Oryctolagus cuniculus: one gene and its partners. The main gene of each other region encodes a partner of the protein of the gene in region 2 in a complex. Links are inferred from orthologs where the notes say so. Each region holds a gene or a part of one and is shown on either strand. Other genes may lie near its edges.

Region 1 (4,199 bases), on a different chromosome or scaffold from region 2:
TGCCTGCAATACCAACATCCTATATGGGTGCTGGTTCAAGTCCCAGCTGTTCAACTTCTGATCCAGCTCCCTGCTAATGTTCCTGGGAGAGCAGTGGAAGATGGCCCAAGTGCTCAGGCCCCTGACACTCACAAAGGAATCCTAGATGGAGTTCCTGGCTCCTGGCTTTGTCCTGGCCCAGCCCTGGCTTTTGCAGCCATCTGGGGAGTTAACCAGCAGATGGAAGATATTTCTCTCTCTCTCTCTCTACCTCTTTCTGTAACTTTGCTTCTCAAATAAATAAATAAATATTTTTTAAAAATATTCCATTTTCAGGAACTTTTTGAAGTATTCTCATTTTTTTTTAAGATTGATTTATTTATTTGAAAGGCAGAGTTACAGAGAGAGGGAGAGAGACCATCCATCCACTGGTTCACTTCCCCAAATGGCCACAACTGCCAGAGCTGGACTGATCTGAAACCAGGAGCCAGGGGCTTCTTCTGGGTCTCCCATGTCAGTGCAGGAGCCCAGGGACTTGGGCCATCAGCTGTTCTCCCAGGTGCATTAGCAGAGAGCTGGATCAGAAGTAGAACAGCCAGAACTTGAACCAGCACCCATATGGAATGCAAGCACCACAGGCAGTGACTTTATCCTCTATGTCACAGCACTGGCCCCCTCATACATTTTAAATAAACTAATTTTGATGCTTTCCATGTCACTTCATTCCACTGCGTAGTACACAGTGAAGTCATTTGTTGTCTGAACAGATTCTCCAAGTATCATAAATGCAGTTGTTAAAGCTATTCTGGGTTTAAGTGCAAATGCTATGAATTATTGCCAGTTCAAGGAACTGTTGAAAGAAATAAAAGACAATGAATTATATTTTGTTTGCCAAAGCTCATTGGTTGGGACTGCCACCAGGGGGTGGGCAGGGACGGGACAAGCACGGGTGTGCTCCACACTGGGCATCCTCAGTCACTTTCCACGTTTCCCCATTTAATCATCAATGCAACCCTTTAGGCTAAGGCTTGTGATCTTCATTTTACAGATAAAAGCTCAGATAGATTCAGGAAGTTAAGCAAGAGCCTGTGTTTCCGGTGATTAGCGCGGGGCTGGGAACTCCATAAACGGCGGCTGCTGTGACAGGCAGAGTCCCAGAGCTTCTGCAGGCTTAGTTCCAGCAGCTGGGCTCACACGTGGACAGTCTTCTCCGAGTCTCCCCCAGCATGCCATTCCACCATCCCTGAAGGCTCCCAACACCCCAAAGGAGGCCCCCGAGGCTACTGTCGCCAAGGATGGGACATGAGCAGTGGGCCAGGGAAGGCGCAGGCAGCATCCAGACTGGGCGTCTCTGCGAGGGACAGAGGCTATCAGACACCAGGGGCAGCCTAGAAGGAAGAACCGTCCTCCTCCGTGCGGTTTAGGGCGCGGGAGGCCAGGGCAAGAACCCCAAGGGCCCCTGAAGTGCTCCTCTGCTTTGAGGGAGTCTGTTTCCGGGAAGGCACTGCAGAAGGACCCAAGGAAACGCAGTCCTACCTGGGCAGGACACGGAAAGACCTGCAGGGAGCAGGGGCCCGGCCCTGAGAGACCGTGCAAGGCTTGGCCCCTAAGCCGGGCGGGTTGGGAACGAGGTGGGCTGGGCTGGGCCGGGCGTGCTCCCTGGGTGGCCTGATTGACCGGGTGCGCCGCCAGGCCCGCGGTCAGGGTCCAGCTGCGCGACCCAGCCCGAAGGGAGCTGGGCGGGCTGGAAAGGGGCCCCGCCCGGGTGGGAGGAGCCGCAGTTGCTGGAGGGGCCAGAAGGTGGGATTGCGGGGCGGAGGGAGGGGCGAGGAGACGGGAGGGCTGACAGCCGAGGCCAAGAGTCCCGCGGGAGGGCGGGGAGAGACCCCGAAGGCTCCGTGAGGGAGGTGAGGACGGGAGGAGAGCGGGCGGCGGAGGAACGGCTCCGGGGTCCGATTACGGTAAAGCCCTTGCTTTGCAGCCACAGCTTTTCACGGAGGCGGCCTCAGCTTCCTCATCTGTGGCTTTCTGGTCCCAAGACCACCGGTACGGGCAGGGCTCTAGGCGATGTCACCCCCTCAGGCAGCCCTAACCGTGAACTAGGGGACAGGATCCGAAGGGGGGGCGAAGAGTACTGGCCGGCCTCAGAACAAGGCAAGGGGGGGCCCGGCCCGGGTGAGCCGCCCGCCTTCTGGACTCAGGGGTGGTGTTGATGGCAAGGGGCAAGGCCAGCGCCAGGAGGGTTAAGCACCCCGCAGTTCCCCGCGCCCTGGGCGCACACTCCTTTCCCAATGTGTTTACGTCCTCCCAAAAATATTCATTCTCCAGCCCTTGCTCTTCCCCTGCTGTCGGCCTCCCGGTGAGGGTAGGAGCCAGGAGATTCGAAACTTGGGAGGGACAAGCGGTGAGCTGCGGGCTGAGGTGGGGGGAGGAAGCAGAGAGGGGCTCTGTGAACAGCAGAGGGCAGGGAATCAGACCCCCAGTGGGGAGGGGGAAAGAAGTGAAGGAGACCGATGGGCAGAAGGACTGCTTCCCAGGCTCTTGGCAGAGAACTTGGCTAAAACTTTGCTGGCCCCAGGGAACAGTGCCGGGAAGGGGCGCGCGGGGGTGGGGGGGTGGAGGGGGGTGTGAATGAAAGGGCCATTCCGGCAAAGAGCCAGTGCCCCGTTCCTCCACCTCTGCCCACAGCTCTGCAGGCATGGCTCCCAGAGGGGTAGGCCAGGGGAGGAAGTGACTCCCTAGCTGGCACCAAGGCTGAGGACGGCACACACTGCTTTGCAGGGCCAGGGAGACGGAGGTGAAGCCATGCGGCGGCTGCTGATCCCGGTGGCCCTGTGGCTGGGCGTGGTGGGTGTAAGCAGTACTGAGCTCACCAGGGCTCAGCAGCGGGGCCTGCAGGTGGCCTTGGAGGAATTCCACAAGCACCCGCCTGTGCAGTGGGCCTTCCAGGAGACTGGTGTGGACAGTGCCGTGGACACGGTTAGGAGCATGGCCCTGGCAGGGAATGGGGAGATCTGACGTTGGGAGACCATAAAGCACCCAGGAAGTGGGCACAGAACTGCTTGGGCTCTGTGAGCCCCCAGCTTGCCACCTCCTCCACTGTACTTTTCACTGTGTGTGTATCTCACATCCAGAGCCGCTCTGCCCACTCTGCTGGCTTCTGGACTTCCTGTCTTGTTCTTGCTTGTCTGTCCGTCCACAGCCCTTCCCAGCTGGAACCTTTGTGAGACTGGAATTTAAGCTTCAGCAGACGAATTGCCGGAAGAAGGACTGGAAGAAACCCGAATGCAAAGTGAAGCCCAATGGGGTGAGTGAAGCTGCGTGTCTCGGACCACATATTGGGTGTGAGTGTGCGGAACCAGGAGATTGAGTGAGGCTACAGGTGGGAGACCCTGCTGTGAGGAGCCTCCCTAAAAACAGAAGGGGCTCATCCTGTGGCTGAGGGTGGACAGGGAGAGAGCTGGGTGACCCTGAGGACTCGTCTTCATCATGGTGAGGTCCACCTCTGAGTGCCTCTCAGGCCTAGGTCACTGGCAGAAGCAGCCCCTGGCATAAGGTTTGATTGACACCCAGGCCAGCAGGTGGAGATGGCCCTGGCCTGGGCAGATTCACAGCCAGCCTCAACTGTCAATAGCCACCTTAGGGCACATCTGCAACTGTGGGAACCCTCCCTGGGCTGGAGTGTAGCTTTCTGGGTTCTGGTTCCCACTCTCTGAGCCACAGGCCCGGGCTTTGTAAGTCCCATGAAGACCTCAGCTCCTTCTGTAGATTTTCTCAAAAGTTCCAGGGTGTTGGTTCCAATGACACCGCACGAGGAAATGCAAACAGGTAGCAGCAGAGTAGTTCTAGTGGAAGTCAGATGGAGAGAGCCCATCTGGGGACAATTCTTGCCTTCACATGCTCGCACGCACACACACACATGTGTGCAAATACACTTGTATGGAACGATTCCTGCCTACACACATTAAAGTTCCATAGTTTGAAAACTGTAGGATTGCTTGCTTTCTGAGATTTCCCAGGCCTCTTGCCCCTCCACACCAGGGCCTGCCAGGGGAGCCGGCCTCCTTTGTGGGCAGCCCCCAGCTTCCATCCTTGGAGTGCTGCCTGTCTCTCTCACTAGTTTCCTCTCCTCATCCCATGCGCCCCCCCCCCCCCCCCCCCCGGCAGAGGAAGCGGAAATGCCTGGCCTGCATCAAACTGGATCCTGAAGATAAAGTGCT
Region 2 (2,909 bases):
ATTAAGAGATAAGCTTGAGGCTGACACAGTGGCGTAGCAGGTAAAGCTGCCACCTGCAGTGCTGGCATCCCATATGGGCACTGTTTTGAGTCCCAGCTGCTCCACTTCTGGTCCAGCTCTCTGCTATGGCCTGGGAAAGCAGTGGAAGATGCCCAAGTCCTTGGGTCCCTGCACCCACGTGGGAGACCAGAAGAAGCTCCTGGCTCCTGGCATCAGATCAGTGCAGCTCTGGCCATTGAGGCCAACTGGGGAGTGAACCAGTGGATGGAAGACTCTCTCTCTCTCTCTCTCTGTAACTCTGCCTTTCAAATAAATAAATAAATGGCTTTAAAAAAGATAAGCTTGTCTTACTGGGAAAATGTTTGAAATCCATGCAAGGCTTCAAAAAATAAAAAGTCATGGAAATGCATATTATGAAAAAACTATGTGTGGCTTTCAAAATGGATTTGCAGCCAAACAAACCTGCCTTTTAATTCTTCCCTGCAATGAACTCTGGGGCGCACCCCGTGGAGACGCGCACAGGCAGCAGTGGGGTCGAGAGCAAAGTGGAGGTCATGGTTACGTTTATGTACTGGACAGGAAGCTACACTCAGACCGGGAAGACCCGGGGCGGCCAGAACCAGCCAGGCCTGGCTCCGAGGGGGAAAACAGCCGGCCTGACGTTCGCTTCTGCTGATAACAAGATTCCTGGCTCCCTCAGGCTGGCCAGGCAGAGCCCCACCCCAGGGCCTGGGAGGACGTGCGCCTCTGCGGACTGCGCTGGGACCTGGGACAAAGCCCACGCTGTCCGGGCCTCGGCTGCTGCATCAGGAAACTTGGGGATGGCGATGACAGGGGACGCTGGGTCCCGGGGCTATTCCAAGTTCAGATCCCGGGAGGCAGCCGGAGGCCTCAGTGTGGGGTCACTTCAGAGCCACCTCGTCAGGTGCATCCAGAGCCAAGGACAGAGGAACAGCTGTGTCTTCACAAGATGTGAGTCCAGGAGCCCAGCGCCGGGCCTCCGTGACCGATGCTCCCTGCGTCTCGCTGGAGAAGTGGCTTCACGGGTAGAGACCAGGGTGTGGGCGCGTTGAGACCACGGGGCCGAGGGCACACAGGGGCTGCCTCCCGCCAGGCCCCCTGCCCCAGCCTGCTCTCAGCAGGTGCAGGAGGTGGAGCTGTTTGCGGGCTGCCCATGTCAGGTCTTCTGGAAACAATTCACAAAGCTTCTTAGAGGCCACGTTCATCTGCTTCAGACTAAGCCCCGGTCTCCCCAGTTTCCTTCCTGACGCTGCCTGGCAGACGGAGACTCAAATCTGGGCTCTGGCAGAGACCAGCTGGGCGCTTCTGGGTAAGTTACTTAGCCTCTCTGAGCCCCGGGTTCCTTGTCAGTAAAAGGGGAGTGAGACTTGTACCTAACGGGGGGTTGCTGGGAGGAATAAATGAGATAACACGTGTAAAGTGCTTAACATAGAAAGTGCTGTCACTCTCCAGTCTAGAAAATTCTCCATAGAAGAATGTAGCCAGACAGAGCCAGGGCTGGATCTGGTCTCTGCCACTGACCAGCTGTGTGGGATGCTGGGCAACTTTCCTCCCCGCCCCGGCTGGGCCTCGGCAGTGACACCCTCGGCAGGTGCCGGTGCCGGGTGAGGACAGTGGTGCCACGCAGGTGCACACAGGCCGTGTCTGCGGTCTGCATTGCAGGAGCCACCATTCCCGGAGTCGCCGCAGGCTCTGCTCGGAATGCCGTGCTGAGTCCTGGGACCTCCTCCTCTGCCTGGGAGGCCGCCGAGGTTGCTCCCTGAAGCTGCACGTGGGACCAGTCTCCAGTCCCACCCCTCCTGCCCCCACCCCGAAGGGTGATGCTGCAAGCTGAGTGGATTAGAGGAGGAGGGAAGAATCCCAGCAAGAGGGCGGGAGCTGCAGGTGTACCCCCCCACCATGGCCCCACTGCCAGGTAACAAATGCTGGGTGAGAGCAGGGGCTAGGGCTGGGGGCTGGCACCCCCACACCCCTAAAATCCTGCAGTTGAAAGCACCATCGCCCCAGCTGCTCCACGTCTGCCTCCTTCGAAGGGGTCTTTGCCCCTCCTGTCCCATTCCTTCTCCGAGGCCCGCAGCCCTCACTGACCCCCGTGCCGGGAACTTGCAAAGGGCCCACATGGAAGCCATAGTCCCAGGAGTTCAAGGGTTAAATTGTGCCACCTTCCTCTCCCAGGCAACCTGTGCATTTCCACCCAGAGGAAGGCCTCGAGGGGCGGGACTTCTGGCTAATGATTGACGATGGCTGACATCCGTGGAGGTGGGCAAGGTGGGATTGGCCTGGCACTGGGCTTCCTCTGACCTCCCTGCCCACACCAGGAATGGACCTCGGAGGTCGTTTGAGTCATCTCTGGGGCACACACAGTAGGGAGCTAAATCCACCTGCCTCTTGCCCACCCCGGTCGAAGTCCTGACAGCTCCTTTTTTCAGAACGCATCCTTCCGTTGGCTTTGAGTTGGTCAAGGCAGGTCTCCCAAGAAGCACCGGTTGCGGGTCCAAGGCTGTGTCATGGCAGACTCTCCCACTGTTCCATCCAAGCCCTGGATCCCCAGTTCTAAACACCGCCCTCCCCCAGGCAAAATGCAGTGGGCACTCAGGGTGCTGAAGAGGTTCTTGCCTTGGTCTTCTGTCCCTGGGGGATGAGGGGAGGTGGGCGCCCCCCGGGCGAGGCTCAAAGCATGCTGGTCTCCCTCTCGTTCATCGATGTCCTCTCGTTCACGGACGACATCTTGGTGAAGCTCCTGTGGCTGGGGAAGGAGGAGTGGCCGGTGTCTTCGCTGAGGGCATTGACCAGGCGGGAGAAGAGGGTCACCTTGAACTTCTTGAAGTCCTGCCCCATGAAAACGTACAGGATGGGGTTCATGCAGCTGTTGGCGATGGCGATGGCAG
Region 3 (3,645 bases), on a different chromosome or scaffold from region 2:
TGGGAATGCAAACTGGTCAAGCCACTATGGAAGTCAGTCTGGAGATTCCTCAGGAACCTGAATATAACCCTACCATACAACCCAGCCATCCACTCCTTGGAATTTACCCACAGAAAATTAAATTGGCAAACAAAAAAGCTGTCTGCACCTTAATGTTTATTGCAGCTCAATTCACAATAGCTAAGACCTGGAATCAACCTAAATGCCCATCAACAGTAGGCTGGATAAAGAAATTATGGGACATGTACTATATAGAATACTATACAGCAGTAAAAAAAAATGAAATCTGGTCACTTGCAAAAAAATGGAGGAATCTGGAAAACATCATGCTGAGTGAAATAAGCCAGTCCCAAAGGGACAAATATCATATGTTCTCCCTTATCAGTGACAACTAACTGAGCACCAAAAAGGAAACCTGTTGAAAGGAAATGGACACTATGAGAAACAGAGACTTGAGCAGCCCTTGTCCTGACTGTTGATGAACAACTTAATACTTTATCCCTCCTAGTATTTTTTTTGTTCTACTTAATAGTATTGATTGAACTCTGTAATTAACACACAATTATTCTTAGGTGTTGAAATCTAACTGAAAAGTGATCCCTGTTAAATATAAGAGTGGGAATAAGAGAGGGAGGAGATGTACAATTTGGGACATGCTCAATCTGACTTGCCCCAAATGGTAGAGTTAGAAATGTGCCAGGAGATTCCAATTCAATCCCATCAAGGTGGCATGTACCAATGCCATCTCACTAGTCCAAGTGATCAATTTCTGTTCACAATTGATCATAATGATAGGACTAAGAGTCAAAGGGATCACATAAACAAGACTAGTGTCTACTAATACTAACTGACAGAATTAAAAAGGAGAGAAAGGTCCGACATGGGAAGCGGGATACACAGCAGACTCATAGAAGGGCAGATGTCCTAAACAGTACTCTGTCCTCAGAATCATCCTTTATGACATTCAGATCTGGCTGAAGAGCCCATGAGAGTATTTTAGGAGTGGAAAGCCAAAACACTCTGGCAATGAAAGAAGGAAAGAAGGAAAGAAGGAAAGAAGGAAAGAAGGAAAGAAGGAAAGAAGGAAAGAAGGAAAGAAGGAAAGAAGGAAAGAAGGAAGGAAGGAAGGAAGGAAAGAAAGAAAGAAAGAAAGAAAGAAAGAAAGAAAGAAAGAAAGAAAGAAAGAAAGAAAGAAAGAGGAAAAAGAAAACCTAATTGAAAGATCTCTGCAAGTGAGATCCCAGTGGAAAGAACAGGCCATCAAAGAAGGAGCTACCTTTCTCTGAAGGGAGGAGAGAACTTCCACTTTGACTATGACCTTGTCTAACTAAGATCAGAGTCGACAAACTCAAAAGGCTTCCATAGCCTGGGCAACTCAGGACAAGAACCTAAGGTGATTACTGATACCATAAACAAGAGTGTCAATTTGTTAAGTCAACAACAGGAGTCACTGTGCACTTACTCCTCATGTAGGATCTCTGTCCTTAATGTGTTCTACAAAGTGAATTAATGCTATAACTAGTACTCAAACAGTACTTTACACTTTGTGTTTCTGTGTGGGTGAAAACTGTTGAAATCTTTACTTAGTATATACTAAACTGATCTTCTGTATATAAAGAGAATTGAAAATGAATCTTGATGTGAATGGAATGGGAGAGGGAGTGGGAGATGGGAGGGCTGCGGGTGGGAGGGAAGTTATGGGGGAAAAAAGTCAATGTAATCCATAAGCTGTACTTTGGAAATTTATATTTGTTAAATAAAAGTTAAAAAAAATTTATGACAGTTATTTTAATAAAAAATCAAGGGAAAATGAACCATACACTGATAACAGCCTTGAAGCTAATAGATTAAGCAAGCAAAAGCAGGCGGGGTGGTGAAAGAAGAAAAACAAACTGTCATAGGCAAGGACCAGGGCCATTTCCAGTGAAACTGGAACCAAGTCTCCGAGCCAAACAAGGACGCCCAGCTCGAGCTCCTGGTGCACACCAGCAGCATGGCACTCTCTGTCACCTAATTTCCTTGGTTCCCATTTTATTACCTGGTAAAATAACGAAGTGGGACCAGCTTGTCTCCAACAGTCCTCTTCAGCTCTAAAACTCTGACAAATGCTTCTAATAGTCAGCATGTCCCTTCTCTGATGATCAGCAAACTTTTACACTGTGTCTATCATTTGCAATTAGATTGTTTTTTTCAAAAAATTATTCTGGCATGATTACAAATAATTAGATCAGGTCAGTATTCCAAATTAAAAAAAACATGTTGAGAATTGCTGGTGTAAGCCATTTACCCCATTCACTACTAAAAACAGTCATGGAGAGAGAGAGATACCCACTGTTTATACAACTGCAGTTACTGTTCAATTGTCTATGCCATGGGATGGATGAGGAGAGTATAGCTATAAAGGGGAGTTCACACAGCCCTGTATATTATTCTTCCACTCACTTCTAGAGCTCTGGCTCACTTCCCTCATTCCTGCCATCCTGACTCCCATGATGAGTCCAGACAAGCCTTTGTCACATGGTATTGTGCAATCAGGCAAGTTACTCATGAGGCCTGCTCATCTCTTACCGCCCGAGCTGAGTCGCCGAAGTCTACCTTCAGCCTCCCCATGGCCCTGATGATAGCGATAATGGACTGGATGGTGTTGCTGTAGACCACGGCTTTGTACTGTTTACACTCCTCTTCCGAGTAGCCGGCTTCATGGATGATTCTAACCAGTGGACAAGGAAAACAAGACACTGACTTCCTTTGACAAGAGATGACACTTGAACAAATTTAATATTTTCAATTTACTTACTTCATCTGCTTCACAATTGTGCTTTTCCCGGATTCACCAGCACCTAAAAAAAGACCAAATCAAATCAAATCAGGGATTTCGGACTTCAGGATTATCACATGTATCTGACTTCCAACACACACACACACACACACACACACACACTCTCTCTCTCTCTCTCTCTCTTGTTTCTTACAACTGAATTGTTTTCTATTAAAAGGAGATAAAAGCAGTAAAAATGTCGGATGAGCAAATCTAAAGATCTAATGTATAAAATGAGGACTATAGTTAATAATACTGTGCTGTATGGGGCTGGCCTTGTGGCATAGTGGGTAAAGCAGCTGTCTGCAGTGCCGGCATCCCATATGGACACCATTTTGTGTTCCAGCTGCTCCACTTGAGATCCAGCTTCCTGCTAATGACCCAGGAAAGCAGCAGAAGATGGAGCAAGTGCTTGGATCCCTGCGCCCATGTAGGAGACCTAGAAGAAGCTCCTGGCTACTGGCTTCAGCCTGTCCGAGAACTGGCCGTTGTAGCCATCTGGGGAGTGAACCAGCGGATGAAAGATTCTCTCTTTCTCTCTTGCGTTTCTACCTTTCTCTGTGTGACTCTGACTTTTGAATAAATAAATATTTTTAAAAATACTGTGTTGCTGGGGCTGGTGCCATGCATGGCTCACTTGGTTAATCCTCCGCTTGTGGCGCCGGCATCCCATGTGGGCGCTGGGTTCTAGTCTCGATTGCTCCTCTTCCAGTCCAGCTCTCTGCTGTGGCCTGGAAAGGCAGTGGAGGATGGCCCAGGTGCTTGGGCCCCTGCGCCCACATGGGAGACCAGAGGGAAGCACCTGGCTCCTGGCTTCAGATCGGTGT

Evidence for each region.
Region 1: the proteins of CMKLR1 (region 2) and RARRES2 are in contact, whole or in part, in a cryo-EM structure (PDB 8ZJG), measured with the Homo sapiens proteins. The link is inferred for Oryctolagus cuniculus from reciprocal best matches to the Homo sapiens genes CMKLR1 and RARRES2. Residues at the interface, in NP_001135815.1 of Homo sapiens: Asp20, Tyr21, Leu22, Asp23, Ser24, Ile25, Val26, Val27, Leu28, Phe88, Leu92, His95, Tyr103, His104, Asn116, Leu119, Ile120, Met123, Arg178, Leu183, His184, Gly185, Lys186, Ser188, Cys189, Phe190, Asn191, Trp203, Thr205, His217; in NP_002880.1 of Homo sapiens: Leu34, Phe37, His38, Phe60, Thr75, Ser76, Cys77, Arg96, Leu111, Gly112, Arg113, Leu114, Val115, His116, Cys117, Pro118, Ile119, Thr133, Leu136, Arg137, Gln139, Arg140, His146, Ser147, Phe148, Tyr149, Phe150, Pro151, Gly152, Gln153.
Region 3: the proteins of CMKLR1 (region 2) and GNAI1 are in contact, whole or in part, in a cryo-EM structure (PDB 8SG1), measured with the Homo sapiens proteins. The link is inferred for Oryctolagus cuniculus from reciprocal best matches to the Homo sapiens genes CMKLR1 and GNAI1. Residues at the interface, in NP_001135815.1 of Homo sapiens: Asn74, Phe78, Arg137, Ser140, Val141, Pro144, Val145, Ser147, Gln148, Asn149, His150, Arg151, Ser152, Val153, Ile243, Lys246, Leu247, Leu252, Ala253, Lys254, Lys257, Pro258, Ile261, Ile262, Met319, Gln321; in NP_002060.4 of Homo sapiens: Glu28, Ala31, Arg32, Val34, Lys192, Asp193, Leu194, Asp315, Phe336, Thr340, Asp341, Ile343, Ile344, Lys345, Asn347, Leu348, Lys349, Asp350, Cys351, Gly352, Leu353, Phe354.

The regions. Positions count from the first base shown.
Region 1 is NC_091438.1:23,677,161-23,681,359, forward strand, and holds the start of RARRES2 (retinoic acid receptor responder protein 2), read left to right. Parts: upstream 1-1,385; 5' UTR 1,386-1,610; intron 1,611-1,617; exon of another isoform or gene 1,618-1,960; 5' UTR 1,961-2,025; intron 2,026-2,307; 5' UTR 2,308-2,383; intron 2,384-2,760; 5' UTR 2,761-2,784; coding exon 2,785-2,958; intron 2,959-3,181; coding exon 3,182-3,286; intron 3,287-4,146; coding exon 4,147-4,199. UniProt on the Homo sapiens protein: Adipocyte-secreted protein (adipokine) that regulates adipogenesis, metabolism and inflammation through activation of the chemokine-like receptor 1 (CMKLR1). Also acts as a ligand for CMKLR2.
Region 2 is NC_091452.1:17,522,847-17,525,755, forward strand, and holds the end of CMKLR1 (chemerin-like receptor 1), read right to left. Parts: coding exon 2,692-2,909; 3' UTR 547-2,691; downstream 1-546. UniProt on the Homo sapiens protein: Receptor for the chemoattractant adipokine chemerin/RARRES2 and for the omega-3 fatty acid derived molecule resolvin E1.
Region 3 is NC_091434.1:144,874,670-144,878,314, reverse strand, and holds part of GNAI1 (guanine nucleotide-binding protein G(i) subunit alpha-1), read right to left. Parts: intron 2,841-3,645; coding exon 2,798-2,840; intron 2,711-2,797; coding exon 2,569-2,710; intron 1-2,568. UniProt on the Homo sapiens protein: Guanine nucleotide-binding proteins (G proteins) function as transducers downstream of G protein-coupled receptors (GPCRs) in numerous signaling cascades.